Linked DNA regions of Mus musculus: regions 2, 3, 4, 5 and 6 are each reported to be linked to region 1. The links are microRNA targets in miRTarBase. Many come from high-throughput screens and were not tested one by one. Region 1 holds a microRNA gene; each other region holds the end of a gene's coding sequence.
Evidence for each region. The annotated mature microRNA mmu-miR-124-3p reads UAAGGCACGCGGUGAAUGCC and lies in region 1 at 2,940-2,959, shown strand. An mRNA with a match to its seed (bases 2 to 7 or 8) in the 3' UTR can be bound and repressed. Matches are read on the target gene's strand: a 7mer-m8 pairs with bases 2 to 8, a 7mer-A1 pairs with bases 2 to 7 and ends in A, and an 8mer does both.

Region 2: the mRNA of Sypl is a reported target of mmu-miR-124-3p. Seed matches in the 3' UTR shown: 7mer-m8 at 617-623.
Region 3: miRTarBase lists Cplx1 as a target of mmu-miR-124-3p. The part of its 3' UTR that is shown has no 7-base or 8-base seed match.
Region 4: the mRNA of Mboat1 is a reported target of mmu-miR-124-3p. The part of its 3' UTR that is shown has no 7-base or 8-base seed match.
Region 5: the mRNA of Tmem100 is a reported target of mmu-miR-124-3p. The part of its 3' UTR that is shown has no 7-base or 8-base seed match.
Region 6: the mRNA of Tpd52l2 is a reported target of mmu-miR-124-3p. Seed matches in the 3' UTR shown: 7mer-A1 at 3,643-3,649 and 8mer at 3,078-3,085.

The regions. Positions count from the first base shown.
Region 1 is chr3:17,792,784-17,798,057 of GRCm38, forward strand. Mir124a-2 (microRNA 124a-2) reads left to right here and starts at 2,879; the gene lies at 2,879-2,987. It overlaps Mir124-2hg (Mir124-2 host gene (non-protein coding)), which reads left to right. Exons shown (of 3, transcript NR_033490.1): 2 at 1,810-2,230. Gm51272 (predicted gene, 51272) reads right to left here and starts at 2,958; the gene lies at 2,902-2,958.
Region 2 is chr12:32,975,256-32,980,529 of GRCm38, forward strand. Sypl (synaptophysin-like protein) reads left to right here. Exons shown (of 5, transcript NM_198710.3): 5 at 335-4,247. The coding sequence ends at 469. Among named protein-coding and RNA genes, the nearest start is that of Gm40874, 18 kb to the right of the region's middle.
Region 3 is chr5:108,515,347-108,520,620 of GRCm38, forward strand. It overlaps Cplx1 (complexin 1), which reads right to left. Exons shown (of 4, transcript NM_007756.3): 4 at 3,208-4,980. The coding sequence ends at 4,783. It also overlaps the pseudogene Gm10086. Among named protein-coding and RNA genes, the nearest start is that of Cplx1, 32 kb to the right of the region's middle.
Region 4 is chr13:30,244,772-30,250,012 of GRCm38, reverse strand. It overlaps Mboat1 (membrane bound O-acyltransferase domain containing 1), which reads right to left. Exons shown (of 13, transcript NM_153546.4): 13 at 3,319-4,664. The coding sequence ends at 4,544. Among named protein-coding and RNA genes, the nearest start is that of Gm40863, 12 kb to the right of the region's middle.
Region 5 is chr11:90,034,758-90,040,031 of GRCm38, reverse strand. Tmem100 (transmembrane protein 100) reads right to left here. Exons shown (of 3, transcript NM_026433.2): 3 at 3,527-4,756. The coding sequence starts at 4,683. The coding sequence ends at 4,279. Among named protein-coding and RNA genes, the nearest start is that of Tmem100, 7.0 kb to the right of the region's middle.
Region 6 is chr2:181,514,212-181,519,485 of GRCm38, reverse strand. It overlaps Tpd52l2 (tumor protein D52-like 2), which reads right to left. Exons shown (of 9, transcript NM_001373959.1): 9 at 1,524-4,406. The coding sequence ends at 4,311. It also overlaps a transcript of Dnajc5 not described here. Among named protein-coding and RNA genes, the nearest start is that of Dnajc5, 3.6 kb to the left of the region's middle.

The DNA of each region.
Region 1 (5,274 bases):
GGCTCTGTGTCAAATAACTATATTGCTTTTTGCATGAGTTTCATTACCTTAACCTTTTCAGAAGTGAAATTCATCACAATTATTTCTCTTGTGGATTATATAACTGCTCCCTTAAATTTTCACTTTCAACCCTGTGACTTCTGACTTATTTTGTAACCAGTCTTCTTTGTGACCTGTAAAGGCCTGGAAGATCGTATAAATCATTAACAACACACAGGTTAGAAAAATTAAAAAAAAACAATTTACATTTAAATTTGAAATAAAATTCAAGTGACGTTGAGATTTGTAAGGCAATGAATTCCGGATCTTTAGCCATCGTGCTTGTCCAGAGAATGAAACTGCAATTCTTTGAATGTCCTTGTTTCTTAGCATAGATGATAGATATGTTTTTGACACCCGCATTTTAAAAATTTAAATATTTAAAAAGCATTTGAGAAGGATATTAAATGGAATTTGGTGGTATTCTGATCATTTCATAATGGGCTCTTGTGGTTCTTGTAATGGTGGCCCAGGGCTCTGGTAGAAAGCAGAGACAGTTTGGGAGTCATTGTTTAGGAAGGTGCTCCAGCCTGTCTTCATTCATAAGAATAAGCATAAAAAATTTAGACCTTGGCCTGGGGAAAGGACAATGGTGGGGACGAAAGATGCAGATATGCCTTAACCATAAAATGAAGAGGTGGTCGCTCATCTGGAGCTTAGCTCTGTCCATGGTGAGGTGTTGGCTGTGCGTGCCAGATTTTAGATGAGGATTGAGAAAGTAGTACTGTCTCTATTTTAGGAGACAGAAGCCAAGTGTGGTGACTTTGACTTGTGTTGAGCCAGCCTGGACCTTGACTGGGGGCTGTGCAGAAGGCAAGAGAGACTGAGGAGCTCTGTCTTAGGTAGTTGTATTGGGGCCAGTGTGGTGCGTGCAGGAGAGTGTAAGCAAGGGCAAGGAGGGTGCCCTTTGCTTTGCCCAGGCGCAGCTCTTGGGGGCTGCGCGCCTTCTGCAGCTCTTTGGTTTCAAGGACACAGCGAGCTGTTCAGGACTTTGGGAGCCAACATCTGTCTGACTGGTGACGTCAGCAGCCCGTGTAATCCTCTTGTGCTGAAGGCAGATGCCTTATTTGTTTGGCTGGAGCGAGCCATTAATCCCTAATTCTGGATCAGCAAGCGAGGGGGAAAGACCGGACCGCTACGATCCACCCCCTCCCTGCCCCCACCGCCCATCCTAAAGCACCTTATATCGCGGAAACCACTCAGCCTCCTCTTTCCTCCGAGAACACGCGGAGCAGCCCCTGAAAACGCTTTGGTCCTCTGCAGGTTTGAGCAGAGCTAGCAGCTCTTTCGCCTTTGGATTTCTAGGGCTATGCCTATATGAAATTCTTTATTTCATCGATCATTTCGATTTTCATGCGAGAACTCTTCAGTCTTGCAGTTTGCAGGATTCTAAACCAAGAAGGGGTGGAGATTGGAGAATGCGGTTCTGGCGTGTGGTCTGAGGGAGGGGTTAGATGGGTAAGGGCGCGCGGGATGCGCAAATCGCTGAGACTGCACAGAGGACAATCTGAGGACTCGCTTTCAAGACTCCATCTCAGGAAAACATTTCTCTCGTCCTGACTGCATCTTCTCACCTTCCGAAGCCGGGATTGAGTTGGGAACTCCCCTGTCGCCCCGCACATTGCAGGGGCTCCCCGAGCTCGATTCTATAGGTCCGGACGGCCGGTCACCTTGGCTCCCTAGAGTGATTCCTCCCTCCTCCTGTCCCTCCTCTCCAGTCTCCCCCTCCTCCCTCCTGCTCTAATTCTGCGCTTTGATTCTGTTTTTCAGGGGGAGCGCTCTGGGGTCTCCGCACAAAACCTGCTTTTGAGCCCTTTGGCTTTCTTCAGGCGAGCGCAGTCCGTCCATCCCCCTGGCCCACCCAGCCGCAAGGGATGCTGTGAAAAGAGCCGCTGCTTGCCGCCTCCGGCCTGCCGTCCAGAGGGCTCCGCCCGTAGAGGTCAACTCCCCTCATTCTTCTTCTTTCCATCTTGCCCTCCCTCCGCCGAGCCCAGACTCGGATCTCCTCCTGACTCCCGCCGCAGTCAGAGAGAGCGCATCTGCTGCGCTGCCCTTAAATCTACGCCCAGAGCGGGCTCAGACCCGATCTCTGCTCTCCAGAGCCGGAGGAAGCCCGAGCAAGCAGCCTTTTCTCTTCGCAGTAAAATCATAGCCAGACCAGATGGGCCCCAGCTCTCCCGGGACTCGGCAGGTGCTGTTGAGTTAATTTTTCCGCAATACAAAGAAGGAGGACCCAGCCGGCCTGGGATTCTGATCTTTTCCCAAAATTTCCCAACCAAAATCGGGCTATCAAAGGCGTATACGTGTGTTTGTCGGACATACAAACATGCATGATTATATTCGCTTTTTCTGCTAGATCTCTGGCAACAGGGGATGAGTGACAAAGGTTTCTGCAGCAGAACACTCATGGTGTGGTCCTTAAAGACTTGCCTTTCCTTACAAATGTCTTAGGACGGCATTCAGGGCGAACCAACTCAGTTAATTGCCTTCAGTAAAATAACACGATTACGAAATTAGATCTGTACCAGAGGGGTAATTAACTTCGATCCATGTCATCATTTGAAAACTAGATTTATAGACATATGTATGGGTTTTAGGTGCGCTGTAAATGGCATGCAGATGTATGCATAAGAATCGCAGACTCATGCACCCGCTACTCTTCAACCTTGCAGACTAATTAATGGCAACTCTGACAGATGTGGCGGGAGGAAAGCTGAGGTGGGAGTACTGCTCAGAGCTACAACTCTAGGAGTAGGGACTCCAAGCCTAGAGCTCCAAGAGAGGGTGAAGGGCAGGGAGAAAATTATAGTAATAGTTGCAATGAGTCACTTGCTTCTAGATCAAGATCAGAGACTCTGCTCTCCGTGTTCACAGCGGACCTTGATTTAATGTCATACAATTAAGGCACGCGGTGAATGCCAAGAGCGGAGCCTACGGCTGCACTTGAAGGACATCCGAGAGAAGTTAGGAAGGGTGGGGAGAAACAATTCTAGAATGAACCCATCCTGTGCGACACAAGGACCCCTCGCATTGATTCAAAATCTTTAGAATACAAGACAGTCAAATGTTTTTCAGCGAGAATCTGGGAAATCCGCATGCATACTCCCAAGGGGAATATTAGAGGTTTCATTGACAGCTGTCAGGAGAGCTGTAGTTCCCATTGGTGCAAACGGTCTAAGAGATGGCACTCAGAGAGTGCTGGCCTTTTCCAAATAAAATTCTGGGTCGAACTGGGAAAACAAAACGGATGAGAAACCCCAGACCACACTGCATAAGAAACCTCAAATGACTCAATTATCAGTGAAAATAGGACCCCCGCCCCAAGCTTTTCACTATTCTCCCATTCTTTACCCAGTCTCATGGTAGCCTTGACTGGATTTAAAAGGCCAAGGCAAAGTGACAATACCCAAATCAGTCAATATTGTCCAATAAGAGGGAAAGGCCAAGCCAGGAACTCTAAGACTTGGTAAATTAATGTATTTGGAAGACCATGAGGTACTTAGTTAAGGTAGGTTCCATAACCCGAAAGCCTAAGAAAACCACCGCTGAGAAAGAGCCTTGGTGGAAGTCTTTGTTCTGTGGTGGCCTATCTGGCCTGGGAACAAAGGAGAGGCTGGAGAAGGATAACCCAAAGTGGCCGCACCCTCGCCTTGCTGACAGGATCATCTTCCTCTTCCTCTTTCTTTTCCTCCTCCATTACCTCCTCCCCCTCCTCTTGTGGTAATTCTGCAAACAAGGCAATAGAATTATAGAATCGCTTCTTCTCTAACCCAGCCCCATACCCCAGGATATTAGTTAACTTACAAATAAAAACCTTGAAATACGGAAAGACAGGCTAAACAGTATTTTGCTGAAACCATCCACTCTGACAATCAGCTGATTTGGCCAGAAACCCGAGTAGTTAACAAAATGTGCTAGAGAGAGATTAAATAGATTTTTTTTCCTCTTAAATCACAATCTTGAAAAGAGAAACACACGGTTTTCAGTTGAGGATCTTATCTCAGATATGGTCACCAAAGATACCTCTCAAAGGACCCTAGAGTGTGCCTCAAAATATATTTAAAAGGTTCTGACTGAGGTTGATTTAGTGACCAGAGCAGGCAGGAGTAGAGAAGCCTGCAACCACTCTCGTGGCTCTCAGCAAGGCTTTCTGTGGGACAGCTTTCCTTACTGAGTTCTGAGGCCAAGGCCCACAGAGTGGCAGGGTGATGGTGCCCAGGAGCTGGCAGTGAGCCTCGCTCCTCACAGGAGGTACTGCAGTCCTAGGAGGCCTGAATCCCACAGTGCAGAGAAAACCATACTGCAGAGCACAGCTCACTAGGGAGGCAGAGTAGCTTACCAAATCCCATATAATGAAGATTTGTCTTAGGAGTCCTGGGTCAAATGTGTCTGAATTAATGCATTCAACATATATTTAAAATTATCAGCATTCTAATTTAAATATTGAGAGTATTGTATATAAATAGTAAAATATTAATTTCTATATTGAGTCATATGTGCAATGGAAAAAGTAATAGACAATAGATTGGTTTGTATTCAGCCGTGGGTCCAGGAAAGAAAATGTTCCATGCTTGAATTTCTTTGTAGATTCACATCATAAATACTGTCAAACATCAGTCATAGATAAACTAAACAAAGCTGTAAAGAGACACAGTGACAGTGATTTTTACCTGGGCATAGAAATGGTCCATAAATGAACAATGGCCTAAAAAATATGTTTTTATACTATTTCTTCTCTTCCACCTGAATGGTTGAAATGTAGCCAATGATTCAGGAAAAAATGAGCTCAGAAATGATATTCTTGGGGGTCTAGTTCCTATTCACTCCATCCTAAAAAGGTGGCTTTTAGTTTTGTTTTCTGATTTTAAAACTCTGTAAATTAGGATCTTTATATCCACAAATTTTAGGTTTGCATTTGATTTTACACAATCTGGGGGGGGGGGTGAGATGGCGATATCACACTTTGTTGGGACAAGAGCTACCTCAAACACAAAGAAACCCCCTCTTGTGTCGCTGAAAAAAAAAAAAAAAAAAAAAAAAAAAAAAACTCACCAGAAATGGGAATGGGTTTGAAGTGCTGAAGGTTGTCATGGATGCTCCTCCTTCCAGCAACGACCTAGTTATTCTGGTGGTCTCTCCTCACAATCCCCTGAGCTCCTCACAAAGCAAAAAGGGTCTAACAGTCCTGCTACATCAGTGTAATTCATATTACATAATAAAAACACAATAATACTC
Region 2 (5,274 bases), not on the chromosome of region 1:
AGGAAGGAGGAGAGTCAATGGAAGAAAAGTACAAATGTAAAAGATGCAAACTCGGCTCCCCGTCGACCCTCCTCACCCTAGATACCAAAGTCTAAATTCAAAGTAATAAGGGGAAGATCTCACCTTTCTCAGATGTAATCAGAAGTTCTACATGCAGAAATAAAAGGTTTTCATTTTTGTTGTTTTATGTTAGATATAGAGGTTTAACATGTTGGGTATAAGTCATTAGCAATCCATAATTTGTACAGTGGACTGTATGTAGTCTTCATTTTTATTCTACTCTGTATGTATCTGAAAGCAAACATTAGATTCTTATGTGTTTTCCTCTTTATAGATCTTTGGCTTTCTGAATATGATACTTTGGGGAGGAAATGCTTGGTTTGTGTACAAGGAGACCAGCTTACACAGTCCGTCAAATACGTCAGCTTCCCACAGCCAAGGCGGTGGCCCACCCACTTCTGGAATGTAACTAAGGGGAGAAATACACTGTATGAAATGTGTGCTCTAGCATGCCTTGTTGCCAACACCTTGAAAAGCATTATTGTTTCTAATAAAAAGTAATGGCTTTTTCAGTAAATTGGTGGGTTTAAAAATTTGCTGCTTTTCTACATAAAATGTGCCTTTTCTAGAAATTTAAGATGTAAATGTATTTTTACATGAAAGTTTGAAAATTCGGGAGCCTGTTATGAGATGATGTTACTTTTAACTGAACAATAATTTAACTAAGTTGCTTCTAAAGTGTTTACACCTTAAACTTTAACATAAACCTTCATTCAGAAAACAGTTATGTCGTATCATAATATAGGAAGAATGTGTTTGGAAAATACACTACTGTTAGTTTGTATACATTAGATCTTTCAGGCTTGGCTTGTTTAAAGAAAACCTTGATTGCATAAATCATATTTAGAAAAAAATTAGTGCAATTTTATATTTGAATATTGTTCATGTTAAAATTTTTTTGAATTGCAAAGACTGGGTATATATTTTGTTTCTGTTTTTTCTAAATGATCTGCTGTACTTATTAGGTGTACTAAAATTGTCTTAGAAGCGAGGGTTTGAAAATTGTACAAATGTGTAGAGGTAACTTTGCACTTGTGCTGCATGGGTATATCCATTATTTCTGGTGGTTTCTTAGGCTTGCAAAGAGCACGGTTCCCAAGACGGGTTTATACACGTAGGCGTTCTCCATCAGGCTTGTTTACTATCTTTTGTTCATACCAAGAGAAAAAAATCTACTTTTTTTTTCCAGACCCTGTTTAGAGGGTTACTAAAAATTAAGGTTGCCTTTTACGTTTGAAATGTTTAACATTTAGTCAATGATGTTTCTTCTCCTGAGTTTAACATTGATATTGTGAAAATAAATGCAGTTCAGATTTATTTCTTAAGATTCATTCTTCACAAAAGGGTGATTAAGGAATTATGCTCATAAAGGAACCTAAGCAAGCTGTATTGTGTGTGTGCTGTGTGTACACACATTTGTGTGTGCTCAGAATACATGCTTTCTGCTCCTGACTTTTTGTTGTACAGGATTCAGATTCCTAGTCCTACAAGATGATGTTTGTGTGTAAGGCACACCTTTTTTGTTGCTTTATTCATGACAAAGTGTCAGTTTGAGAATGTATGTTTAATAAGCAAACAATAAAGAAGTGAAAATAAAGAATGCCCCGTTGTTATATTACAATGAACTCTTCATCCTAAAGGTATAAGCATTGCAAAATGGAACCTCTTTTCAAAGCAGGAGATAGAATTACAATAGTAATTTTAAGTGCCAATAGAACAGACTAAAATGGTTCAGACATTTCATTCTTGTTTGAAAAATATTTATAACTATTAGATTGTCTTCCTGGTAAATATTTTATAATTGGTCACTCAAATAGGGAAGATTACTGACTGAGGGCATACAACTTCCAGGCCTGTTTCCATAGTTCAGTTGGAAGACTGCTTGTCTAGCTAGCCCCGTCCATCCTTCTGCACTACTGCATACATAAGCCAACGATGGCAGCCCAAGCCTCAAATCTCAGCACTCCATAGTTTAAGATCATCCTTGCCTGCTTGGGGAGTTCAAGGCTAGCCTGGGCTATATCAATCAGTGAGGAGTACTCTTTTCCTGCTCTCTCTCTCTCTCTCTCTCTCTCTCTCTCTCTTTACATATACCATCTTTTCCTCCCTCCTCCTTCCTCCTCTTCCTTTTTCCTCTTCACCTCCCCATCCTGAAGCGAAACTGCTGGGATTAGAACCTGTCCTTGGCCAGCTCCCAAGCTGGCTAACAAGGTGAAGCCTGTATTTGTATCTGAAAACATGGAAATAAAGAATATTGACCTTGGACTGGAGAGATGGCTCAGGGGTTAGGAGCACTGACTGCTCCTCCAGAGGACCCACATGACATTTAATAACCAGCTATAACTCCTAGGAGGATCTAATGTTCTCTTCTGGCTTCTACAGGTATTACATACATTCACAGACAGTATGCATGCAGGTAAAACATTCACATAAACTTAAACTGACTTCAAAAAAAATATGAAAAGCAAATGGGTCTAGAGGTTTTGAAATGTCTTCAGCACAGGTTCTCCATAAATGTTAGTTGTGTCTAAGACAGCCTGGAGTCCAAGGGGCTAGGGGACACAGGCTGAGAAGCGGAAAAAGCTTTAAGCATCTAAGTTTTTCCTTTGGTAGTGTTTACAATTTGGTTTCCCTTAATCAATCCTAAGTGTTTGGGTGTATTTGTTTTTCTGTTGGTGCAGATATTGGCAAGGCTAATGAAATTAAAAAAAAAAAAAGTAGTCCATTGAAATGAGAGTAAACTCAGAAAGGGCTCCTGCTAGCCTCCCCTCCCCGCTGTTTTTTAGGGAACATTGTAGAGGCAATTTCTAGGACAGAAGTGATAAGCTTTAACTTCCCAGAAGACAAGCTGCAGAGAGACAGCTAACAGACTCGTTACTAATTGTTTTTAAAAAACATTCACCTAGATAAAGATCTTTAAATGTGTAAAAGGTAGGGGTAGAATTACATGGTATTTTGTGTTTGGGCATAATTATAATTTTTATGTAATATTTCCAGAAACAGGTGCCTGTAAAATCATACCGAAGAACTTTATATGTACCAGATTTTTAAAAGAAATAAAATATTGCTAGAAGAACTTGTTCCTCATGGAGATAGAATTGGTACAGATAGCTCAGAATGAATATTCTCCTCAGTACTTGATGCTGCCGGGCCACTCGTCACTGCTCTGAGTTTGAAGCGTCATGTTTGTTTTAAAGCCTGTTTGTGGTTGCTGTTGAGGCTGACCTCCCTTTAGTTTAGTTACAGCTCCTCTGCTTCTCCTGCCTTCCCTTCTCAAACCCTTAGCTGAGTTTTCTTCTGTGAGACTTTCTCTGTGGATGTACACAGTTCCCTACATCACCTTGGTAGTAACCCCTTGGCGTTTCCATGGCTGCAGTGTTCGCCCCATCTGTGGCTTGTATTTTCACTGGATTTTGTCATATAAATTTGTAATTTCTTCATTTCAATGGTATGTAACTACCTTCCTGGTGGGTTTAGTTTCTGCAATGGTTTTGGCTGTGGTGAAGTCACATATTCCTGTATACATTTTAGAATCCTCTTATCAAGCTCCTAAAGACCCTTTGTGAGGTTTCAGTTGTGAAGAATTGCATTGAATTTGTACATCAGTTAATTTGTGAAGAATTGTCAAATTTATAATGCCACAGTTTTGTATTTATAAACATGGTATATTTCTGCATTTTTATTTTATGCTTTCCAATAAAGTTTTATAATTTTCTACATAAAGATTTAAGATTATACTTAGCCTCAAGAATTTTCATGCTGTTTACACAATTACATTAGATTATATTTTGAATTGAGTTGTAATTGTTTATTGCTGTTATATATAAACAACATGTATAGGTTTTTACCTACTGATAATTATAGAAGTTGGCAGTTTTTCAAACCTTGAATTTTTAATATGTAAATTATCCTGGTATTTAATGTTTATCATCTACAGATGTTGATAGTTTTATCATGTTTGGAAATTACACATTCTAAATATTCTCTAATTATAAAGTGATCTTCAAGAAAACCTGTTTTAAAAGTAGAAAAAGTACATTTACCTGACATACTGACTGATAACTGCTTCAGTACATCACTTGTAATGACAGATTTGCACTGTTGTATATTGGTAGTTGTAGTAACGTAAACTGGTCAGATCGATTGGTTCTTTATAGAGTTGAATTAAACCGATCACAGTGAGAATGTTCATATGAACCTTGTTTGACTCTGCTTGGACAAGAATGGCATTTATTAGCCGGGCGTGGTGGCACACACCTTTAATCCCAGCACTCGGGAGGCAGAGGCAGGTGGATCTCTGAGTTCGAGGCCAGCCTGGTCTACTAAGTGAGTTCCAGACAGCCAGGGCTATACAGAGAAACCCTGTCTCGAAAAACCAAAAAAAAAAAAAAAAAAATGGCATTTATTTAGAGCTGGGTAGTGGTGGGGCATGCCTTTAATCCCAGCACTTAGGAGCCAGAGGCAAGCGGATCTCTAGGAGTTTGAGACCTGGTCTACAGAGTGAGTTCCAGGATAGCCAGGGCTACACAGAGAAACCCTGTCTTGAAAAACTTTTTTAAAAATGGAAGAAAAAAAAAAAAAGGAAAGAGAAAATGGCTTCTTGAATTACAAAGAATGTGGTTAGACTCTTTAAGCTGGTTTTGTTTAGTTATAATTGACACATAATAAATTACACATGACGAAGTATACAGTTTAAATATTGAAATGCGTCTGGTGAAGGTCCCCACAACTAGAAAATGAACCAATATCAGTTACTGCCCAGTGTCCCTATCTGTCTCTGACTTTACCCACTCCAGCACTTATTGTCACTGGCTATTCTCTAAAATGTTAGGTGAGTTCATACTATAATATAATTTTTTTTCTGAGTGTTCTGTGTGTGAATTACCACACCTTGCATATGTATTCCTTTGTTGGTAAATAGGCTGTTTGGAACTTTAGGCTAATGACAGTTTATGGACATTCACAAGTCCTTGGAATGTCCACTTGGGAGGCTGAGGCAAAAGGATTTTGAGTTTGAAGATAGTCTGGACTATATAATGAAAACCTATTTCAAAAGAGGGGGAAAACAAAAAAGTGTTAGTTCTGGCATGTAACTTTAGACTCCACACTCAGGAGGCAGAATTAAGCAGATCTTGCTGAATCTAAGTCCAGCCTGGCCTACACAGTGAGTTCAAGATCAGCCAGGGCTAGTTACACAGTTGTGTTGGCTAGTTT
Region 3 (5,274 bases), not on the chromosome of region 1:
GAAAGCTCTGTTCATGGCCTCTAGAGAAGCCAGTGACCACTTAGCTCATGCTGTTGGGGAATGGGGAGGATAAGAACACCTCCTGAAGGAGAGGTGAGGTTAGAGAAGGGATAAAGGGAAGATGTGGCCTTGGGGGGTTGGGGGTTGGGGCGGGAACATGTGGCAAGTAAGCAGGAATGGGAAGAACAGAGGCCTCTCCCCAGGAGAGTTGAGGAGGTCAGAGGAGGTTTTCTAGGCAATCGAGTCTTTCTAGCTTTGATTGGGCAGGATCTGCATGTGATCATCTTGGAAACAATCCTGGGGGGTGTGGGGAGGAGTGGCAAGCGATGATTGGCTCAGACCTCTTCTGCAATTCCCACATAGTACTCCTTGCACCTCACACCCTTTCACCTGTGGCAGGTTTTAACTGGGCTTGGTCACAGGTACCCCTCATCCACCCTGGAAGGAGTCCTACCATGTCTCCCACCGCCCCTCCTTCCCATCCCCTTTCAAAACTGATCTGAAGTAGACTGAAGACCTGAGAGCAGCCAGTGTTCAAAATATGTGGACAGATGGCCCAGACCCAGGGGTCCTTGGCCCTGCTGGGTATGTCCTGGACAGTAGGATTTGTCTAGCTGCGGATTAGCAGGGATAGACAAAATGGTCCTTAATTGCTGGTCTTTTTAGTTTTTCGAGAATGCCTTGATGGTTAGGTAGCTTATGATTCAAAACAGCTCTGCTTCTCTGGGTAGGTCTTACCGAGTGGAGCACAGATCAGAGCCTGACTATTGGGCCTGGCTGCCTGCAGACACCAAGGAGAAACTAGCCAGAGACTGGAAAGCTGCCAAAGTGTTCAGGATATGCCAACATCCAAAAGGTTGAGAGACCTCCAGTGTTTGGGGCTAGGCTGGCTTGGAATACTCATACCCTACACACACACACACACACACACACACACACACACACACACACACACATACACACAGGTACAGGGAGAGTGGTGGCAGGAAGGAGGGAGAGAATGGCTCCTGCCTCCTATCTTCTTGGTTTATGTGTCACCTCCTCTGACAGCCACCACACCACTTACGAGTATCATCAGTTCCTGATCCCGCTGTTCAGCACCCATTTCCCTTCAGACAGAAGTCACCAGTCACAGTAAGTATTTAACACCTCTCCCATCACATACGCACATGCACACACACAAAACTACAGGAGAAGGGACCTCAATTATTCCAGGCCCGAGATGATACTAGAACATAATTCACCAGGATCTGACCCATCATTCCTTGGGTGGCCAACTGATCAAGTTCTCCAGCAGCTAAAACATTCAGGTCATTGTTTAAGTTCAAAAGGAATGCAGACTGGGCTGTGAGGTAGGTAGGACACTGGATGACAGATGGGTAGACTAATGGGTGTCCCTATATGAGCATCCATGCTGGGTGACAGCATGTAGCAAAGACCCAGAGATTTGGGTCTTAGGTACACCTCCAGGAAAAGGAAGTAGCTGCCACCCCAGCAAGTGAACTGTTATCTGGGTCATTCAGTGGTGCCTGGAGGTAGGTGTACAGAGGCAGTTGCAAGGGTGTCACAGGATTTTCTCTGTCCAATTACATTAGTGAAGAGGCCTGTGATTGAACGGGGGGTGGGGGGTGGTGGTGGGTGGGCGGGGCTAAGAGTTGCAGAGACAGAGAGTCTCTCAGAAGGAAGATGGCTACGGACATGTACCCACGTGGCATTTTTCAACCACAAGTAGCTATGATTTCACAAGGTTAGAAATATTGGGACACTTGACCCCTGAACTCACCCGCCCCTTCCTTTTCCTCTTCCGGGGACGTTGCTCAGAGGCACTCAGGATGGTCCAGCGTTTGACATACCGCCGTAGGCTTTCCTACAACACAGCCTCTAACAAAACTAGGCTGTCTCGAACCCTTGGCAACAGGATTGTTTACCTCTACACCAAGAAGGTTGGGAAAGCACCTAAATCCGCATGTGGCGTGTGCCCAGGCAGACTGCGAGGGGTTCGTGCTGTGCGGCCCAAAGTCCTTATGAGACTGTCTAAGACACAGAAGCACGTCAGCAGGGCCTATGGTGGGTCCATGTGTGCCAAGTGTGTCTGTGACAGGATCAAGCAGGCTTTCCTTATTGAGGAGCAGAAAATCGTTGTGAAAGTGTTGAAGGCACAAGCACAGAGTCAGAAAGCAAAATAGATATGCACATTTTTTAAGTAATAAAAATCAAGACTTGAAAAAAAAAGAAATATTGGGATAACGCTTTTATCATCAATTGGCTCTGAAATTATTGTATTGGCATCTTGTAAATTGTGATATTATTGATACATAAATCTGATTAGCTAATTAAGCTTTAAGAGTTTTGATTCTACCCAGGTAATGGGTATTGTGATGTGATGGCTGACTGTGGGGTATGTGGTAGCGAGAGCCAGCAGGCTGTCAGGAGCTCTTGAGCTTAGTTAGGCCCTGCCGGAGAACTGGTGGGTTCATTTTTAAAAAATACTTCCTGCAACACAAGGGATGCTCCCAAGGTAGCAAGAGGAGATACTACTGTACTTGGAGAAAGCATGACCCCTCTAAATCGTACCCACTTTCCCCATTTTGCTCTTCACCTCCACTCACCCCTGCATCCCCAGCAAGAGTGAGACATATGTAGCCTTTCTGCTCAGACTGGCAGGTTTTGTGGACATTCCATGTGTAGAGGAAGCCATAGGACTTCCCACCATTGCTATCTCCTACAAGAGAGGTGTCCCAGAAGGGAGACAGACAAGGACTCTTCTAGGACAAATGTGACCATAGCACCTTAGGCTGGGATGAGCATGAAGCAAAATGGGGTTGAGGTAGGGGCTGATAATGTGCCAGGGGAGAGAGCTGGCAAGACCTATGGTCACTTCTTCCCTATTCAGCAGAGTGGGCAGCCATCCCAGAAGGTGCACTAGTGTTACTGGGAACCAGGACAGCCCCTTGGGGTGGGCAGGGGAACAGGGCTGTGAAATTCCTGGTGGGCCCAAGCCGGGGAAGCAGTACAATCTGGATTCACCAGAGCCTTGAACTGTGAGAAAGAAGGTTTGTATGTTCTGGAGGCTCACTCCAGGCACTGGGGTCCTGAAGGGATCTTTGCCCTCTGGAGAATAAGAGACACCCTGTGTTTGTCCACAGTGTGAGGGAGGGCACCCCCTCCCACACCCAGGTCGAATGGTAGTCTTGGAAGGAATAGCCACACGGTGTGAAATCACTGTTTATTGGCTGTGATTCCCTCAGAGAGAAAATGTGAGGCCTCTGACATGCAGGAGGTGCAGGCACGAGGACAGACAGACAGGTAACACATGGGCTATTCTAAGCTCAGCGCCCGGTGCCCCATGCGCTAGGAACAGGATGCAGGATTGACTCAAGAGAGGGCCATCTGCTCAGAGCTGGCTTCTCAATTCATGAAAACCAGCCAGAGGCGCAGAGAATGGCCCAGGTGAGCAAGGTACTGTGGGCCGAGCATGCTTCATCTCTTTGGGCAGAGGGCATTCTGAATAGTATTGCAGTCTAATTGTTATGGCTTCTCTAAAGAGCTATGTAAGGTCATGAAGGTCAATGCTAAGCCACACACCTGGCCCAAAACTCATGGACACTTAATTCAGTTTTACTGTGGACAGGAAGGGTTATGGGAAGACCAGGCTGGCCTTTCTGTCAAGATAAAACTTACCAAATACAGACCTCATTTACCTGAGATTCAACATATTATGATGTAAATTAAACAAATATGAAGAACAATGGCTGCTGGCTGGGCAAAGGGGGAGTAGTTGGGTCATACTGCCCCTGGGCCACACACAGAACAAAACACCACAGCCCAAGCCCAGGAGCTTGCATTTACCGGCCACTGTCAGCCCTTCAGAGGAGGAATAGTGGAGAGGGTGGGACACTTGATTATGCGGCCCTCTGTCTGCTCTGCACGGGCGGGAATCACCAGAACCCAGGGCTTTTAGGAAGACGGGCATTTGGAGGGTAGGTGTCCAGGGGTAAAGCCAGGAAGATCCTAGGAGACTGCCTGCCCACATGAAGAGGACAGGAGGCCACCAGGGAGAGGTGGGATCAGGGAAAGATGGGACTCTGGAAAGTGCATTACAGACGATGTCAAGGGACTCCAAGTGTGTCTGAGACCACCCGCTCCAAATCTATTGCTGTGTTTCCTCTGGCCATGGAATTCTTAAGCCAAACCTTGCAGAGCAACAGAGAAAGAGACAGCTGGACAAAATATGCAAAGGCTGCTGGGGAAGACTAGGGTGGTAGCTCACAGACAGGAAGACAGAGCGAATGGTCCAGCAGGTCCAACAAGTCCAGAAACTGGGGCAATGGACTCAGGGAAGGGCTGGGGGCCCCAAGCACCCACTGCTCATTCCCCAAGTCCCACCCCACTATGGCTGTGCTCCTGAGTTTAGGCCCTGACTGGTAGCCACCCATCCAGGGGTGGTCAGGGCTGGCCCTCGGGGCCTGACCTTGGGCAGGCTCTGTGGGGATGGTGAACTTAAGATTAGTAAGGAGGGGTCCAACCACCCGAAGGCAAGGATGCACAGCACAGGGGCCTGAGGGTCACACCCTTGCCTGGTGGGGTCAGTGATGGCAGTATGGGGAGGGGTGGCCAGAGGCTCCCGAGGCGCGAGGGGGGACATGGGCAGGATAGATCTAGGACTATGGCTTATTTTTGCGGGGGTAGGGGGGCTGCATCTGCTCCCAACATCCCTTGTTGGGGGGAGACTCCGCGGGGGTCTGTACAGTGGGCAGGGCTCCTGGTGCTGACCCAATATCATTACTTCTTGAACATGTCCTGCAGTGGCCCAGGCAGGTACTTGATGACAGTGTCCAGGATGCTCTCATCTTCCTCCTCTGGCTCATCGCCACAGCCCGGTGGGATAGCCTTCTTGGGTCGAGTCAGGCTGCCTTCCGAGTTGGCCTCCATGGCTGCCTGAGCCTCAGCCTCACGCTCCTCCTTCTTCTTGATGCCATACTGTAAAGGAAAGGGCAGTCAAGGCGGGGCTTGCATACTTCCCTCCCCAGTCCCCAGCCTGGGTGGCACTGATGTAATACCAGAGAAGCCATGTCCTTCCTGCACTGAAGAAACCAACCAGCGTCTCTAAAAGGTGTTATTTATGGCTGAGGAAGACTCCAGCTAGGTTCCAGGCCCATCCTGCTCACCAGGGCTCCAACAGTGATCCCACTCAGGTTTTAGAAGAAACACACAGAAGATGGAACAATTAAGAGGTGCCTGAAGGACACATGGGATGTGAAAGAGAAAGAAAAA
Region 4 (5,241 bases), not on the chromosome of region 1:
ATCTGCAAGCTCTGGCCAGCCAGCCTGCATCTGGAAACCTCTGGCCAGATGAATGCTACAAGAAAAAGCCAATTGGATCTGCAGCTGAGTTTCTCTTAACTTTGTCTCTTGACACCTGTAGTCTCAGAGCCCTGGCTTCCACCTCTACTAGAGAAGGCCACTGCCAAGTTCCCAGAACTGTAGGAAGGAAAGCAGGTTAAAAATGAAGTTGTTCATGGATGCTTCTGCTCTTCTTCACGGCCAGAGTCGGCAAGGTTAGAAAGTTTGGCAAAGCTCATGTGAGCTGAGACTTTTTTTTACAAAAATAACTTACCTTGTGGGCCCCATGGAGTCACTTGCAGAGCCTGGAAACTACTTCTGTGAGCAGCCATGAATATGGAACCTGCTTCTTGGTATGGGTGGTGCCCTGTTTGCTGGAGGTCAAGGGGTCTTCAGACAAGATCAAGCTTAAGTTTTTTGGACAGCAGGCCAGAGGACAGTGAAGTTGCTGCCCTGATAGAGAATTAGCCCTAAGAAATAGCTGCTCTAAATTTACAAGAAAGCAGGGATAAGGCCACCAACCCAACTGCTTTCTAATTTGAAGGTGCTGCATGTCCCCAGGGCATCCCATAGTACAGGGGTCTGAACTACATATTTCTGAGATCATTATATAGGGCAGAGAATGGGTCTCCAGCATCTTTTAATTGCGTTGTCTAAAAGCATCAAGCCTACACCAAGTATAACACATATTATAAATAAATGCATTCATTAGTGAATGGATGGAACAGGCAGTTTGAGACTATGTAAACTCGTTGTTTGAGTGGTCTCCCCCACTCCCACCCCATAACATGCTTCCAGTGTTCTTTGCAAGCACAGGCCTTTACCTCAGAAACTAATTTTGAAAAGCAGAAACATTTCCCAGTGTAAACACAGCTCAATCAAAACTGTCAAGAGCAATGACGCATTAAACTAATCCATTCAGTCCTTCATTCACTCAACAAACACTTACTAAATCTTCATTACACAGCAGGCACTATGCCAAGTGCCAGAGACAATGGAAGAGAAAAAGATGAAGTTTCTAGACCACCAAGGCTCTGGTTTTCTTAAAGCCTCTTAAGTAGTTCAGATGTACAGTGGAGGTGAAGAAGTAGATCATCTATTCACTGCCCAGACACTTCAAAGAATGTATGGCTTGAGTCCTACCAGTCCCAGGGATGCATGTCAACTCCTCCAAGACCTCCTGCTGCCTTCTCTCTTAACTAGTTGGAATCTCAGACTGAATTCCCTACTTCTTCTCTCAACTGCCAAATAATAAGTACAGGGCTGGCAGTGATGGTGTGTGCCTTTAATCCCAGATCTCAGGAGGCAGAGGCAGAGGCAGGTGGATCTCTGAGTTTGAGATCCGTCTTTAAAAAAAAAAAGGCAAGTACAAAAACAAACCACTAAAAGAGAATATTTTACATTTGTCTTGAGAGAGACAGGGAGAGAGAGAGAGAGAGAGAGAGAGAGAGAGAGAGAGAGAGAGAGAGAGAGAGAGAGAGCCAGGAGCTGGAAGAATTCTCAGCATTAAGGGTACTTGCTGTTCTTAAAGAGGACCCAGGTTTAATTTCTATGACTCACCAACCATCAGTAACTCGAGTTCCAGGAAATCTATGCCCTTTCCTGGCATCTGAGGTCAACAGGCACACACATGGTGCATATACATACATACAGGCAAACATTCATACATATAACACTTTTTAATAATAATTTAAAGAGCAGATAATGTATTTAGTTTAACCCAAAACTCTCCACCTAACCCATCTTTACTAAACACACATTCTACTTCAGACAGCCTAGAAATCTAAGGCAATCAATACAGCTTTCCCTACTGGATTTATTAACCAGATCTCCCCTTCTAGGTGCTGTCCCTTTAGAGCTTATGAGAAGCCTCACAGAAACAAGATGGTGGCCCAGCAGCCACATCTCCTCCCATCTCCAAGGTTCTCTCAGAAGTGGAGATGCTTAAGAACAGGGAAGCCTGGTACGAAAGAGCATCTCTGTCATGCGGACTTCTCATGCTTCCTGTCAATCCTGATTGTTCCCATGCTCTTCGGTGTGAAAGCTTTTTCATGTTTGTACCTCACAACATCCCTGCTGGAGGCTCGGGGACATTTCAGGCACCTACATCCCATCCTCTAACACAGTGGTTCTCAAGATTCCTAATGCTGCAACCTTTAACACAGTTCCTTATGTTGTGGCAACTACACCCCCGCCCCCAACCCATACAATTATTTCATTGCTGCTTCATGACTATATTGTTGCTGTTAGGAATCGGAATGTAGATATGATATGTAGGATATCTGATCTGTGATCCTGAGGGCGTGGGACCCACAGGTTGAGAACTGTTTGTTGATCAATCACAAATACTGTTCTTGGGTTCTAGGGCACGCTTGAGTTCCTGGTTAACTCTGAGTGGGCCTCATGTGCTGAGTTCATACTACATAACCATGCAGGATCCAGAGGGCTAGGATAGCCTGCCCCTTGCCCCTCAGCAGAAGCCTGCAAGGCAGCCTCCCAGGGCTTGGTGTGCCCTCCCCTCTCCTTCAGCTTCCACAGATTTTCTTCTCTGGCTTCTACTTCCTCTGGCTTCCTGCTGACGTGTTTGTTTCTGTTTCCATCATATCCGGATGAGGTGACGGCTACACTGAAAAGTATAGGTAAGTTTCTTCCTGTTCCAAAACATCACAGGCTAACAATAATTTACCCAGAATGTACACGATATTCGCTATTACAAAAGCAACCCACGGACTAGTTAAAATACAAGGGAGATTATTCTTATGCTTTCTGCAAATTGCCATTTTACATATGGAACTTAATCATCATTAGATGCTGGAATCCGCAACTGGCCCTTGAACCAATTGCACACTGGTACCCCCCGGGAGGGACTATTGTTCTCCTATGTAGCACCAAGACTGGATAAGTTTTGGTAAAAGACTTGCTCATTTCACCATCTTAAGACACACTAGAAAAGACACTCATGGAAAAGCCATGGATAGTAGTAGCTCGCACAAGAATGTCTTGGCCTTAAGTCTCAGTTCTATCAATAGTTCTGCAACACAAGACCACTAAAAATGTCTAATCCACATTGCCTTCCTCTGTGGAGGAATAAGCCGTACCTAGAGCTGTGGATGGAGACAAGAAATCGGGTAAAGAAGTCAATCTCCATTCCTGACTTACATGGTAAGTACTGACCAACATGCTAGAACTTAAAACAAAGAAAACTCCAGCTCGGCATGCATTTGTGAAAATACACACGTCTTGATACAAACAAAAATAATTTTTATGAGGAATCATTTCTTAAAATAGAAATATATTATTTATTCAGTGAGAAACTAATTTTTTAAAAATCATCTGTTCAGAACAAATTTTCACCTTTCAGGCCATTTGATTGAGGCACATCATTGAAGCGCATATTTTATTATTATTATTATCATCATCATTATTATTATCGTCCACATTTTAAATATTATGTTTCCTTCTTTCACATAGACTATTTTATCCAGTAGAAATTCCCCGAAGGAGCCACAGCACATTCATAACAAAGACAGAGTAGAGCACTGTTGTTCCCCTGCAGCTTTCCGACATGACAGATCACCTAAAATAAAGCTGGCTGTAGCCCGTTACAGACGTTACCTAGTGTCTACACGTTGGCCGTGATCATCGACACTTCCTTGATATGCAGAGACAAAAGGGAGCCTCTGCATGCTGAATGCAGCTATTTCTTGAAAAGACATTTGGCCGCCTTTGGACGGTGTGCTGGTTGGTATCCGGGTGCCTTCTCAGGGTCAATAGAAGTCAATCAGATCCAAGCACGGGAAATGGAAACCAGTAGCCCCCACTCTCTCCCCAACTCCTGGGGCACGCAGGCAGCTTTCGGATGTCCAATCTTGGCTCAATTCAGAAGGAAAAAAGGGAATGGTACATTCCTGGCTGAGTTGGGGTGATAATGCAGTTGGTTTGGGGACGCATCGATCCATTCAAGCATTCAGGGGCTAATCTTCCCAGTTCCTGGAGGTTTTTCTTTTTTTTTTCTATACCCTGAAAACTTCCCTTCACAATCTCTTTCCTCCAAGGGCTTTTGAGCATAAGAGTTGTGTCCACAGCCTACTAAGTTGCATATCCCAGGGTCTGGAGTTGCCAAGAGGAAAAAAAAATCATGCCTGGGAATGTTCCGATTTCAAAACTCCAGACAAGTCATCTCAGCAGACACCTCCTAAGTGCCGGAGGCAACGGCTGGAGTCATGCTTCCAGATTTCAGTAGGTGCAAATGATTTTAGAAGAGCCTACCCAGTGGCCTCTTGTCTATGCTGTGTTTCTGAAAGGCCCTGTAAAGTATGCAGACAAAGCTAGACATGGTGATTTAATGGTACAAAAAAAAAAAAAGACATAAAAATATTCCCTGCAGCGGAAAAAAAAAAATACATGTAAACATCTCCTCCGAGTCACTGGAGAACCCTTGAGCCTGTCCGTTATGTCTTCCCAATGTCCCGCAACTCTCTTGTTCACCGTTTCTCTGTGGGTATCAGTCTGCCTTCTTCTTTACAGAATTTGGACTCCGAGACTGCCTTTGAGGCTGGTGTGGTTTGATTGGCAGAAAGAGGATTATCAGCAGACATATGATGTGTAAAAAAAAGAACACGGACCTAGAAGTAAAAACACAAGAGTTGCCTTTCAAAGAAGAACGTGAACAGAAAACACACATGACATCATCTTCAGTGGGATGAAAGGAGGCTGTGCTCAATGGCAGCAGAAGCATCGAGTCCCAACGACTCTCTCACTCCTGGCTCTGGTGGGCAAGCAGGTCAAGGATGTATGAAACCACAAAGCTGGGTGAGGCAGACACAGCACCATCCCACTGACATGATCAGACCAAGAGAATTGCCTGTGCGAAGCCAAACATTCCGGCTGATCAAAAGCCGGGGGTCAGCGCACATGGGAGTTCACTCTGTCCTCTAAGCACAGGCACAGCCTGATCTCCCACCCATTTCTCCGGGTTGAGGAGTTCTCATCTACCTCAGGAACAGGAAGGATCCTGATTTACTAAAAGCTCTAATTCTATGACTCATTGGAGAGGCTTGCGAAGAGGCGCCATAGCGCATGTGTGGTCAGAGGATAAATTTTAGGAGTCAGTGTGCTCCTTCTAGCACAGGTTCCAGGGATTGGACTCAGGCTGTCGGACTTGCACACCAAGTGCTTTTAGTGGCTGAACCATTTTACTGG
Region 5 (5,274 bases), not on the chromosome of region 1:
CTTAGCATTCTACATCTGGATCCACAGGCAGCAGGAAGAGAATTGACATGAGCTTTCGACCTCAAAGCCCGCCCCCCCCCAGTGACATACTTCCTCCAAAAGGACACACCCACTCCAATAAGGCCACACCTCCTAAGACTGCCACTCTGTATGCACCAAGCATTCAAACACATTAGTTTATGGGGGCCACTCTTATTCAGACCACCACATGCCCACCACTCATTCATCCCAGTGCTAGGCCTCCCTGACTGTGAGTCCCTGGGTCAACAAGCCTGTGCAGCAGAGTGGAGTCCTAGCCTCACAGTATGGTGAGGTACAACCTGTTGATGAATGGCAGCTGGGCCTGGGTCCTGTTAAAACAGAGCAAGTAACAGAGTCAGGAGTGATGGTAATTCCTCATGGATGCCAAAATGTAGGGACTTAGGCCCTTGGAATTCAAAACCACAAGGTTGAAAATATATATACCTAGTGGCTCTCTGCTGATTTCTACCTCAGTCATCTTGTCAGCAGAGTGATAAGGATAAAAGTGAATGAAATGACAGACAGGTCCATAGGAGAGGGGCACCGAGGAAAACGTTTCTCTCTGCTGATCTATTCATTGACTTATTCTCCTGACACCATCCCCACCCCCATTCCCATCCCCCCACCCCCACCCCGCACCTTGTGTGCGTAGGCTTATTCATCTTTGGGGAAGAGACTTCCTCCAGATGACTTTGGGACTAGACAACCTGTGGATTGTGTCAAGGTTAAACAGAGTAGCTAGTTAAGGACAGTCAATCCAAACCAGTAACTGCTTGATGCTTTACTACCTGTGGAGACCCTCAGAGAGGGAAGCTGCAGTCAATATAAGGGATATTACAAGTAGCAGTTTCCAAACTTTATAGTACGTTGTTTTTAAGATGTGTTGAATTTTTAGTGTGCGCATGTGTGTGTGTGTGGTGTGTGTTTGTGTATGTGTATGTGTGTGAGTGTGAGACAGGGGGGCACATGTGTGGTTTCAGGTGAACACAGACTGTTCTTCCTCAAGTGCTGCCAACCACTGAGTCATCCCTGAAGCCCCCATAATGCTTTATGGGGTAGGAAATAAAAACATGTCTTTATAAACTAACTTCATTCTGAAAAGGAAACTTATTTTCTCAAGATTACCTCGTTAGTTTAACAGGAGAGTTTATATAACCATTTCTTCCAAGTTCAAAATCCATGATCTTTTCCCTTTCTCTCCTCTTTCCTCTCTCCCTCCCCCTCCCCCTCCCCCTCTCCCTCTCCCTCTCCTCTCTCCTCTCTCCCCCAGCCTTCTGCTTCTCCTCATTCTTCTCTTCCCTTCCCCTCCCTCCTGTAATTCCAGCACCCAGGAGGCTGAGACAGAAGGATTGCCACACATTTGAGGCTAGCCTGGGCTCTAGTGTGAGACCCTGCATATATACATACTTACACAGCAGCTTGCATCATATATGAGGGCACATTTAGCCCACGTTTCCCTGTGTATGATAGAACCATTTGTAAAGCCAGATGCTACTCAAGCATGGATGGCATGCTGCAATTATGATTGTAATTCAAGTCTTGTCTAGTTTCCTTATTATAGTTGCCATTTGCAGCATATTAGGACTACCTTGGTGGCTTTATAGGGATGAGGCCCGGTGAATCCCCAAAGTCTCTCCATATTAGGAAATCTCCATTGTTTAAGAAAAACTTAGGGAAGTGGATGGAAAGGAGGCACTTAAAACATCTGTTCCTTTCAGCTAGGAACCATATGGCTATCTGCAGATTCTATCCCATCAGTTCAGCAGTTAAGTCATCCCATAGGATTTCTCTGGAGACTCGGGTAGCAGCATGAGGCCCCCTGGTGGCCAGAAGTAATTCACGCGTTTGCTTTTCAATCATTTTTAAGGGCTGGGTGGGCACTTAGCTCAAGAACAGAGGACCATTTCTTAACCCTAACCTGCCTTTGCCATGAAGCTGGGGAATGCCTGGTAACATATTCTTGGGGAAGTTGAGAATCAAAACGTTTTCTCTCAAGATATAAGAATAGACTGTATTTCTGGATAAGCCGCTCACTCTTCATTCTTGAGTTTATTTAACACCTCATTTGAGTATTTGTTGTGTTTCTTCCCTGTGCAAGCTAATGCACCAGCCAGCACACTAGGTACAGTATACTGTACAGATTTGTCTAAGAAGGCTTATAAGGGAGAAATAAACACACTTATATCGCCCATGTAATGAGAAGCTGAAATTGCCATAAACGATAAGAACCAGTAGCTGGGGAAAGCACAGTGTGTTCACAGAGGAGACAGGCTTCCGGGAGGAGGTAGCTTTGGAGCCAGAGTGCTGATGAGAAGCAAGATTTGGGTCGCCTGGGATGGAGAGGGGGATGTGAAAAATGGTGTTACCATTATAAGGGAGAGAGAAACGTCTGGGCAGACACAGAGGCAGGAAAACCAGAGCCTAATGCAGGTTGGTGGAGTTAGTCTGGCTGACTCATACGACAGGGTTATTGGATTGGGAGTGAAAGATGAGATGTGTTTAGAGCAGTCCAGAGAAGCTTCAACTTGCCCTGAGAAGTTTCTTTATACAGCAGTTTCTTTTTGCCTGTCATGGACTTAAAAACAAAACCAAAAAACCATATCAAGACAGGGCAGTCCCTGCCCTGCAGTGAGCCCTATTCATTCACTGGCATTCAATGTTATTAGAAACATTAAGGTGTTTCCAACTACAAAAGCTAGCAAGGACTGGGGAGTAGCCAATGTCAGATGGCTACTGGCAGACTTTAGGAAGTCCCTCAATAGAATCCCTTCCAATGAATGTAATACGATAGGTGCCTCCAGTCTCTGCAAATGCTAAGACTTCATCCTTAACTGTCTTCTTACTCTGGTTGAGTGAAGTTTAAAGTACAGTAATGAGAAATGATTCTTACTGGAGTATATAGGATATTGGCTAGCTCAGAGCCACAGTCTTATCCTATTTGTGCAGTACAATGACCAGTGGAATATGCAACCCGTACCAGTTCATAATTAAATCATCAAGAAGCACAAGGCACATTTAATAGCACACTGTTAAATCTCCTACCCCAGGCACTGATTTCCTACTGGCATTTTTAGAAACCCTTAAGAACATATTAATATATTATATATTAAGTATTGCTGAACTGTAACATGAAATGAAAACAACAATCTTCCAGTAGAAGAAGAAATTTCCAGCTGAGAAACACGCAGCTGATAATTTACAAATGAGATGAGGGGAAGTGGACAATTCAGAATAGCGACAAAAGTAATAAAGACAAGGGTGAGAAAGATGGCACGGGGGTTAAGAGTGTGCACTGTTCTTGCAAAGGACCCACATTCTGTTCCCAGGATCCAGGCCAGGCAGCTTCCAACGACCTGTAACTCCAGTTCCAGGAGATCAGGCGCCCTCTGCTGGACTCCAAGGACACCTGCACTCATTGCACAAACCCCAGCACAGCCTCACAGGAATATACATAATTCAAATAAAATAAATCTGAAAATAATAAGGACAGCAGAAACTAGCATTTAAGTTTCAGCAGCCATGAGCATTTATTATTTTGAGTGAAATGCACACTGAACTTTTGTATAAAAGCCATCAAAGGTGCTAGATTGGATTATTTCAATATTAATTTAACTGTCCCTGTGTCATCTGTGTTACCTACATTTCTGTTTTCTTCTGACATATCATTACAACCATCTACAATTGTCCATTGTTAAAATATAAAAAATATTAGTCTATTCTTCAAAATAAAGTACCTCTAGTGATGTTACTGAAAGTGAAAATTCTTTTAAAAAGGGGGGGGCAAAGAATCAACTTATTGGAAAAAATATATATGTATATATATAACAGAACTTCTTAGGTACGTGGGAATGCCAAGCCAATGTAGGCTTTTGGTGGAACGTTTTTATAACACCACTTGCCAGGGCTCTCATTATTTGTCCATTCTTCCCTTGGGTACTTTCTAAATGGAACCAACTGTTATTTAATGCTGTGCATCTCCCACACTCCCTAAACGTTTAACAGGAAAAGCAAGCTGATTCCTCTGTCTGTGTTAGAAATAGCCCTTAGGGTTAAGTTTGTCGTTAAAGATGAGTTATTCCCTACCAAGGGGGAACCGTCTTGACCCCTCATTTTCAGTCCTCTCTATGCCCTATTTTTCATTTTGGTAGTTCATTCGAAAGTTGAGCTCATCCGGTACCGGGCTGGTTTCCTATGAATGAGTTCACTGAGTTAGAGCAGTGTGGGCGGGTGAGCGTTCGCGTTTGCTCTTACTCAGTCTTAAGCAAACAAGCACCTCTGATTTACCACAAGAGCGGTCTGACTCTCGCGTCTCTTGACTTTCTTGTTCCTTTGTCTCACCTTCCAGCACAAGGCACTGGAGGCTAGTAAAAACAGTCCGGAGGACAGAAGGACCAGGCCGAAGATGGAGATGATGGAACCATGGGAATTGAAGCTGTAAGCCACAGCGGTGACCACAATCCCAGTGATGAAGACCACCACGGCAAAGGGGATGATGCAGCGGTAGCAGGAGAGTTCGGCACCCCCGGTGGCGGCCATCAGCTGAACCTCGCTGACCAAGGGTCCCGTGGTGACCACAACTTCCCTCTTGGGGTTTTTCTCCATTGTCACAGGTGTGGGAGATTTTGGAGCTCCCAGGTTCTCTTTTGTGGATTCTTCGGTCATTTTTTTTTCTTCTGTGGGATTTTTCTTATCTCGCTTCACAGGCTAGATTTGGAAAGCCTGGTCAGGATGCAAGCTGTGAAGAAGAAGGTGGGAGACATCAGCTAAGATGGCAGCACCAGCCCTGCAAATGGTAGCAGAGAGGTGGAGAGGCCCCTCCTGTCCCAGGTCACCCAGGAGCACAAGCCTCACTTATTCACATTCTCCATTTGTGGGGTCTTTCGCACTGAGTGAAATAGAGGGTGAAACAGCTGTGCCCAGAAAAGGAGAGAGATAGAAAGCAGGAAGTGCTCTGCAGTATTTCCTCAACCGCGGTGGTCTCCAAGTATCCTTTATAAGCGTTCTTCTTTTGCGGATTGCCTGTGTTTTCTCTAAGCCCGGAAAAGCCCGAATCTTAATCCAAAGATGGCTCATTCAAGAGGAGACTATGCTATAAACAGTTCCACAACTCTCAGCAGCGTGAACTCTTGCCAGTTTTGCGGGGCATGACATGCATTCTTTCCAAGCTATCACCCATTCACTGCTCATGAGAGCAACGTCAGGACCAACAGCAAGTGCATAAATGGCATGCTTCTCCATCGGCTGACTCCTTAA
Region 6 (5,274 bases), not on the chromosome of region 1:
GTTAGCTAGGATTGAGGCCCTGTGCGCTTTCTCCCTTACACCATGCTTAGCTGATGTTGTCCTTGCTCAGGTCAGTTAGGCAGCCATGTTGGTTATGTTACTTCACGGATGTAGCTTCTCTGACATTTTAAGGAGATAAATCTTAGAGCGAACTGTCTGGTCCTCTGGTTGTTGCAGCTTTTCCTCCCCTTCTTCCACAATGATCTCTGAGCCTTAAGTTCAGGACTTGTGGTGGAGTTCTATCTGTGGGGACTGGGCTCCACCAATCTGCATTCTGATCAGTTTCAATTTCTGTAATGATCTCTATCTGGAGAAGATGTTTTCCTTGATGAAGAGTGAGAACTACACTTAACCTATAGGTGTAGGGATGAGTATTTAGGATGTAATTAGGGACTATGCTGGTTTAGCAACGTGATCCATGACTTCACTAGCCCCAGATAGTCGCCTAGGTTTCCAGGATCAGGCGTGATTTCTCTCTTATTGAGCAGGCATAAAGTCCAATTAAACAGCTGTTGGTTAACCAACAAGATATATGTGCCACTATTGCTGTCTGTCTTCAAGTCAGCTTTCAAAAACAAAGCAGATAATACTTAAGGCCTCCCATAACGCATTAAATAAATTCCAATCTTTTCTAACAGTGTCTTCTCCCTTCATCTTATACCTTTTTGCACGCTGGCTGAATTTGAATTGGCACATGTTCTAGGCCCAGATTGTCAGCAGATAGCTCAAGAAACTTAGTAAGTTGTGCAACATCAAGCAAGTAGCCAAAAACAAACAAACAAACAAACAAAACAAGAAACCCAATAAGCAGAAAGGCCAGGTTATCTATTGACTGAAGAAGGAAAGCTAGCTATAGAGATGCATGCCTGTCATCCTAGCAGAGACAGAAGGTTCTGAATCTAAGGTAAGAGCTATATAATGACATATAGCTATATAATGACCTTTGAGAGTGAGAACATGAGCAAACGATTCCACAGTTGGAAGAGATAATGGAATTGACCTGGAACCAACTGAAGACAGAAGCTATGAAGCTGTGTTGGGAATTTGCAAAGATGAATCAGACCTTAAATGATTACCTCCATATCTAGGATACTTTTTAGTCTCCAAATACATAAGTTTTATGCATTGAGATGTCTATAGTAATGCCATTTATAATAATGAAAATGGCCAAGGGGTGGCAGCAGACAGTTTATTCTCAGCACTTGGGAGGCAGAGGCAGGTAGATCTCTGTGAGTTCAAGGCCAGCCTGGTCTACAGAGCAAGTTCCAGGACAGCCAGGGGTACACAGAGAAACCACGTGTCAACAAAATAAACAAAAAAGGAGAAAGAGAAAACTTATAAGTAAATATGGAAAACTGCCCAACTGTACAAATAAGCACATTCAAATGAAATATAGTCATTAAACTACACACAATAACTATAGGCAAAGAATGGCTACAACACACACACACAATGCTTGTGACAGTTCTTCACAGTAAACTCCAAAAGCATGTTTAAAAAAAAAAACCTTACAAATGTTCACAAATTAGCAAGCTTGTTTATTTGTTTATTTATAACCTAACTGTAACCTTGATTTATAGACAGGGTTTTTTTGTGTAGCCCTTGCTATCTTTGAACTCTCTTCATAGACCAGGCTGGCCTCACACTCACAGACACCTACCTGCCTCTGCCTCCTAAGTGCTGAAGGTGTATATGCCACTATGCCAATCTAGTATGTCAACCTTTAAGAGACTGTATGACAGGAATTCTGGCAGCAGTTACATATTTGAGGGGGTTTTCAGGTTTTGCCTTTGATGCTAAGCTTTATTTTGTCCCTTTATATCAATTAGGCAGATTCCACCATCCTCAGTCGGAGTCTTCCCTAGTACAAACCCTCCAACATGCCCTGGTTCTACCCATTCTCAGCTTGCTCCAGTCTACAGTACTCTCTGAGGCCTTCATCACCTCATGTGATGAGAACCAGAGTTGTGAGGAGGAACACATCTTTTAAGGAGTACAGTCGAGGCCTGGGTCCATGAACACAGTCATGTACCCACAAAGCCCAGTAGGCAACCTCTCATCCACAGAGCATGTTATAGTATTTGCTTAATGACTGGAGCATAGTGAATTGTCTTCCAATATCATCTAGTGCAAATATTGACTTTCTAGCCCAGATGTAGTTGTTGCCCTGTGGTCGAGGCTTGCCCAGTGCGAGGGTCACTCCCCATCCCACCCATACCACTTAGCCCTTTTAATCTGGCCCACAACTCCAACTTACCCTGTTCGATAAGCACTTAAGGGTCTTCAATTACTCATTATTTCACATGGCCCCTCATCTGCAGAATAAGAGCATACCTCCTAAGGATTGTTGTACCATGGGGTAACAGTCTTCTCTCAGTGGGACTTAAGATGCTGGTCTTCCTTAATGCCCTCTTCTGCCAGGTGAGCTCCTGGCATAGCTTCATAGCAAAAGTCAGCAAAACAAGATGTTTACTGGGACAAAAAGGCCCCTTTAGTGTAGCCAATCTTGATAATGGACTGTAAACCTCTACATTGCATGCCTGGTATATATTCTTGGTCTTATCCAGAGATACACCTTCTACACAATTCCCTCCTTTTTTATATGCACACCAAAGACTCGTAATTTATACATGTTGTCTCCTGCTTGTCCCCGTTCAAAGCAAGGAATCATATGCATTTACTCTGATCTCTTGTCATTATCCTAAAAGACAGACCAAACAAATGGATGTGGATTTTCCTCCAAAGGAATGCTTTATTGACAAGCTGCCTGCTAATATTTGTAGGAAGATATATCAGTGACCTACACTCCTGTAATGTGTTCCCTCACACAGCTATTGTTTTTAACCCTGGAAAAGAAGACACCAATGGTGTGCTCTTCTTCAGCTCCCCAGTTATTCGTTGTTCCTTGCTTTGTGTGGTAGAGTATTCTAAGGGTGTCCAAAGAAACCAGGAATACTTGATAACCAAGACACCTCACACTGTGTCAAACCAGAAACTAAAATGGACAAATCCCACCTCACCCTAGGAGTGTAGAGATGTGTACAAACAGATAAAGTCTTTGCCCTGCTAAGAGCCATTAAGGCACAGTGCTGGCCCTCTCTCCAAATCATGATCTCAACACACAGGGCCCTGGTATTGAGAGGCTGCAGAATGTGGCAATTGGAAGCAGGAGGAAAGAACTTAGAAAGAAATCTTTGAAGCTCCTGAGAAAAGATGACAGCAGAGTTCTGGCTGAACCAAAACCACATCCCCTACCTGATCTGTAAGGCTGGTTCATTTATTCTCCATGTAATAAACAGACAGGCAGAGACTATGGACCAGAGCCCTGCCCACTGTCAGTAAAGCAACACTGTGCAGGGCACATCCCATTCAGGTGCTAAAGATAAAGGCTTTTTTTTCTTCTCTCAGCTCTCCTAACCTACAGCACAAGAGCCCTGTGGGTCAGAGTGGAAAGCTATTGGAAAATGCCACTCCTTAAGAGAACCAAGTTTTGCACACCAGGAGAAAGTATTAAAGAAATAAAATGTAATAACTGGTACTGGCAGGAGTATGAGATGGGCCAGAATAAAATTCTACATTGTATCATAACCCATTAAAGAACCTTCATTTATTTAGATATATAAAAAGACTATAAACAAAGCATAAGGCAATGTAAGGCTTGAGTTTCAGCTTGAATTCAAAGAAATAATATTCAACAATGAGGCTAAAGCTGTCTTGCCTCACTTTTTTTTCCTATTTAATTTTTGAAAAGACTATCACATTTAAAAAATAGTAAATCTGCTTCTGCCAAAGCCAGGTTGTTAGTGTAAGAATGAAGCAGTTGCTATGTTTCCTTTCTAGGGTCTCAGAAAATAGACAACTCTCTCTCAGTCTGTATGACAACTGCGACCATGCGATATTACCTAGGTAAGTGTATTCCTCCTGAGCTAGGGGAGGAGGTCAGGAAGGAAATACTGTTCACTCAATACTCACACTTCTTCCCTCAGCACTCTGCTGAGACCTTCAAAGGGAGCAGGGCTCCTGGTTCAGTGCTCCTCAGGCCTGAGTGCCCCGCCACCCTGTCCATTTCCTGTGGCCCTTGAAAGGATGGCACAGTGGTCTGCTTCATCTACGAACTTTAGTGTAAAACATTTATGTACAAGACTGTTCTCTAATTCATGCCAAGGCAGCCACATCTGCATGAACATGGGTATGACTGTCTTCAAAACCAGCTCTTCACTGTCTCTGGCTGGTGGCTCTGTCATGCAGAGTTGCAGCTGTGATGATGAGCGTGTGCTTCTGTACTCTGTGGCTGGCAAGCTAGGACAGGCTTAGAAAGGCGCATGATCCGGCAATGTCTGGTCACCACTTCCAGGAGAGGGAGGGAGGTTATCGCTGCCATTCTCTCTGCCACCCACAACCTTAGACTATAGAGAAAACAGAGAAAGTAAGTCAATCTAAGACAAAACAGAAACAGAATAGGTCCAGGGCCATGCTCAACTCTCTGCACATGTCTATGCATCATGGACACTGGTCAGCAATGAATCAATGACACAGTCTGGATAGGTTCTCCAAGAATCACCCATTTTGGTCGGGGGGTGGGGGTGGGGTGAGGGGGGTGGCGCATGCCTTTAATTCCAGCCCTTGGGAGGCAGAGGCAGGCGGATTTCTGAGTTCGAGGTCAGCCTGGTCTACAGAGTGAGTACCAGGACAGCCAGGGCTACACAGAGAAACCCTGTCTCGAAAAACCAAAAAAGAATCACACATTTTGTTTAGAAAAGCACTCATACTGTGTGGTTCCACCAGAGTGTTTACATTTTGTATATTAAGAAACATGTTTCTTGGGGGAGAAGACTAGAGAGATAGTTCACTGTTCAAGAGCACCTGTTGCTCTTGGAAAGGATCCAGGTTCAGTTCCCAACATCCACATAATGGCTCATAGCTATTCTTAACTCCAGTTCCTATGCCTTTTTCTGATCTCTAGAGGACCAGACATATACACAGTACACATACATACTTGCAGGCAAAACACAAAGAAAAAAAAATTGGGACAGGTTATATTCTATATCCCTGGCTGTCCTGAACTCTCTATGTAGACCAGACTGGCTTATAATTCAAAGATCTGCCTGTCTCTGTCTCCCAACTGCTAGGATTAAACACTCTACTTATGTGTGCATGGTTGAATATAAAGACAATCTCTTATAAAAAGCCTATGGCCAATGAACCAAGGCAGGATAAATATGAGGTGGGAGAGTGGCGGGAAGAGAGATCTGGGAAACACTGAGAGGTGCAAAG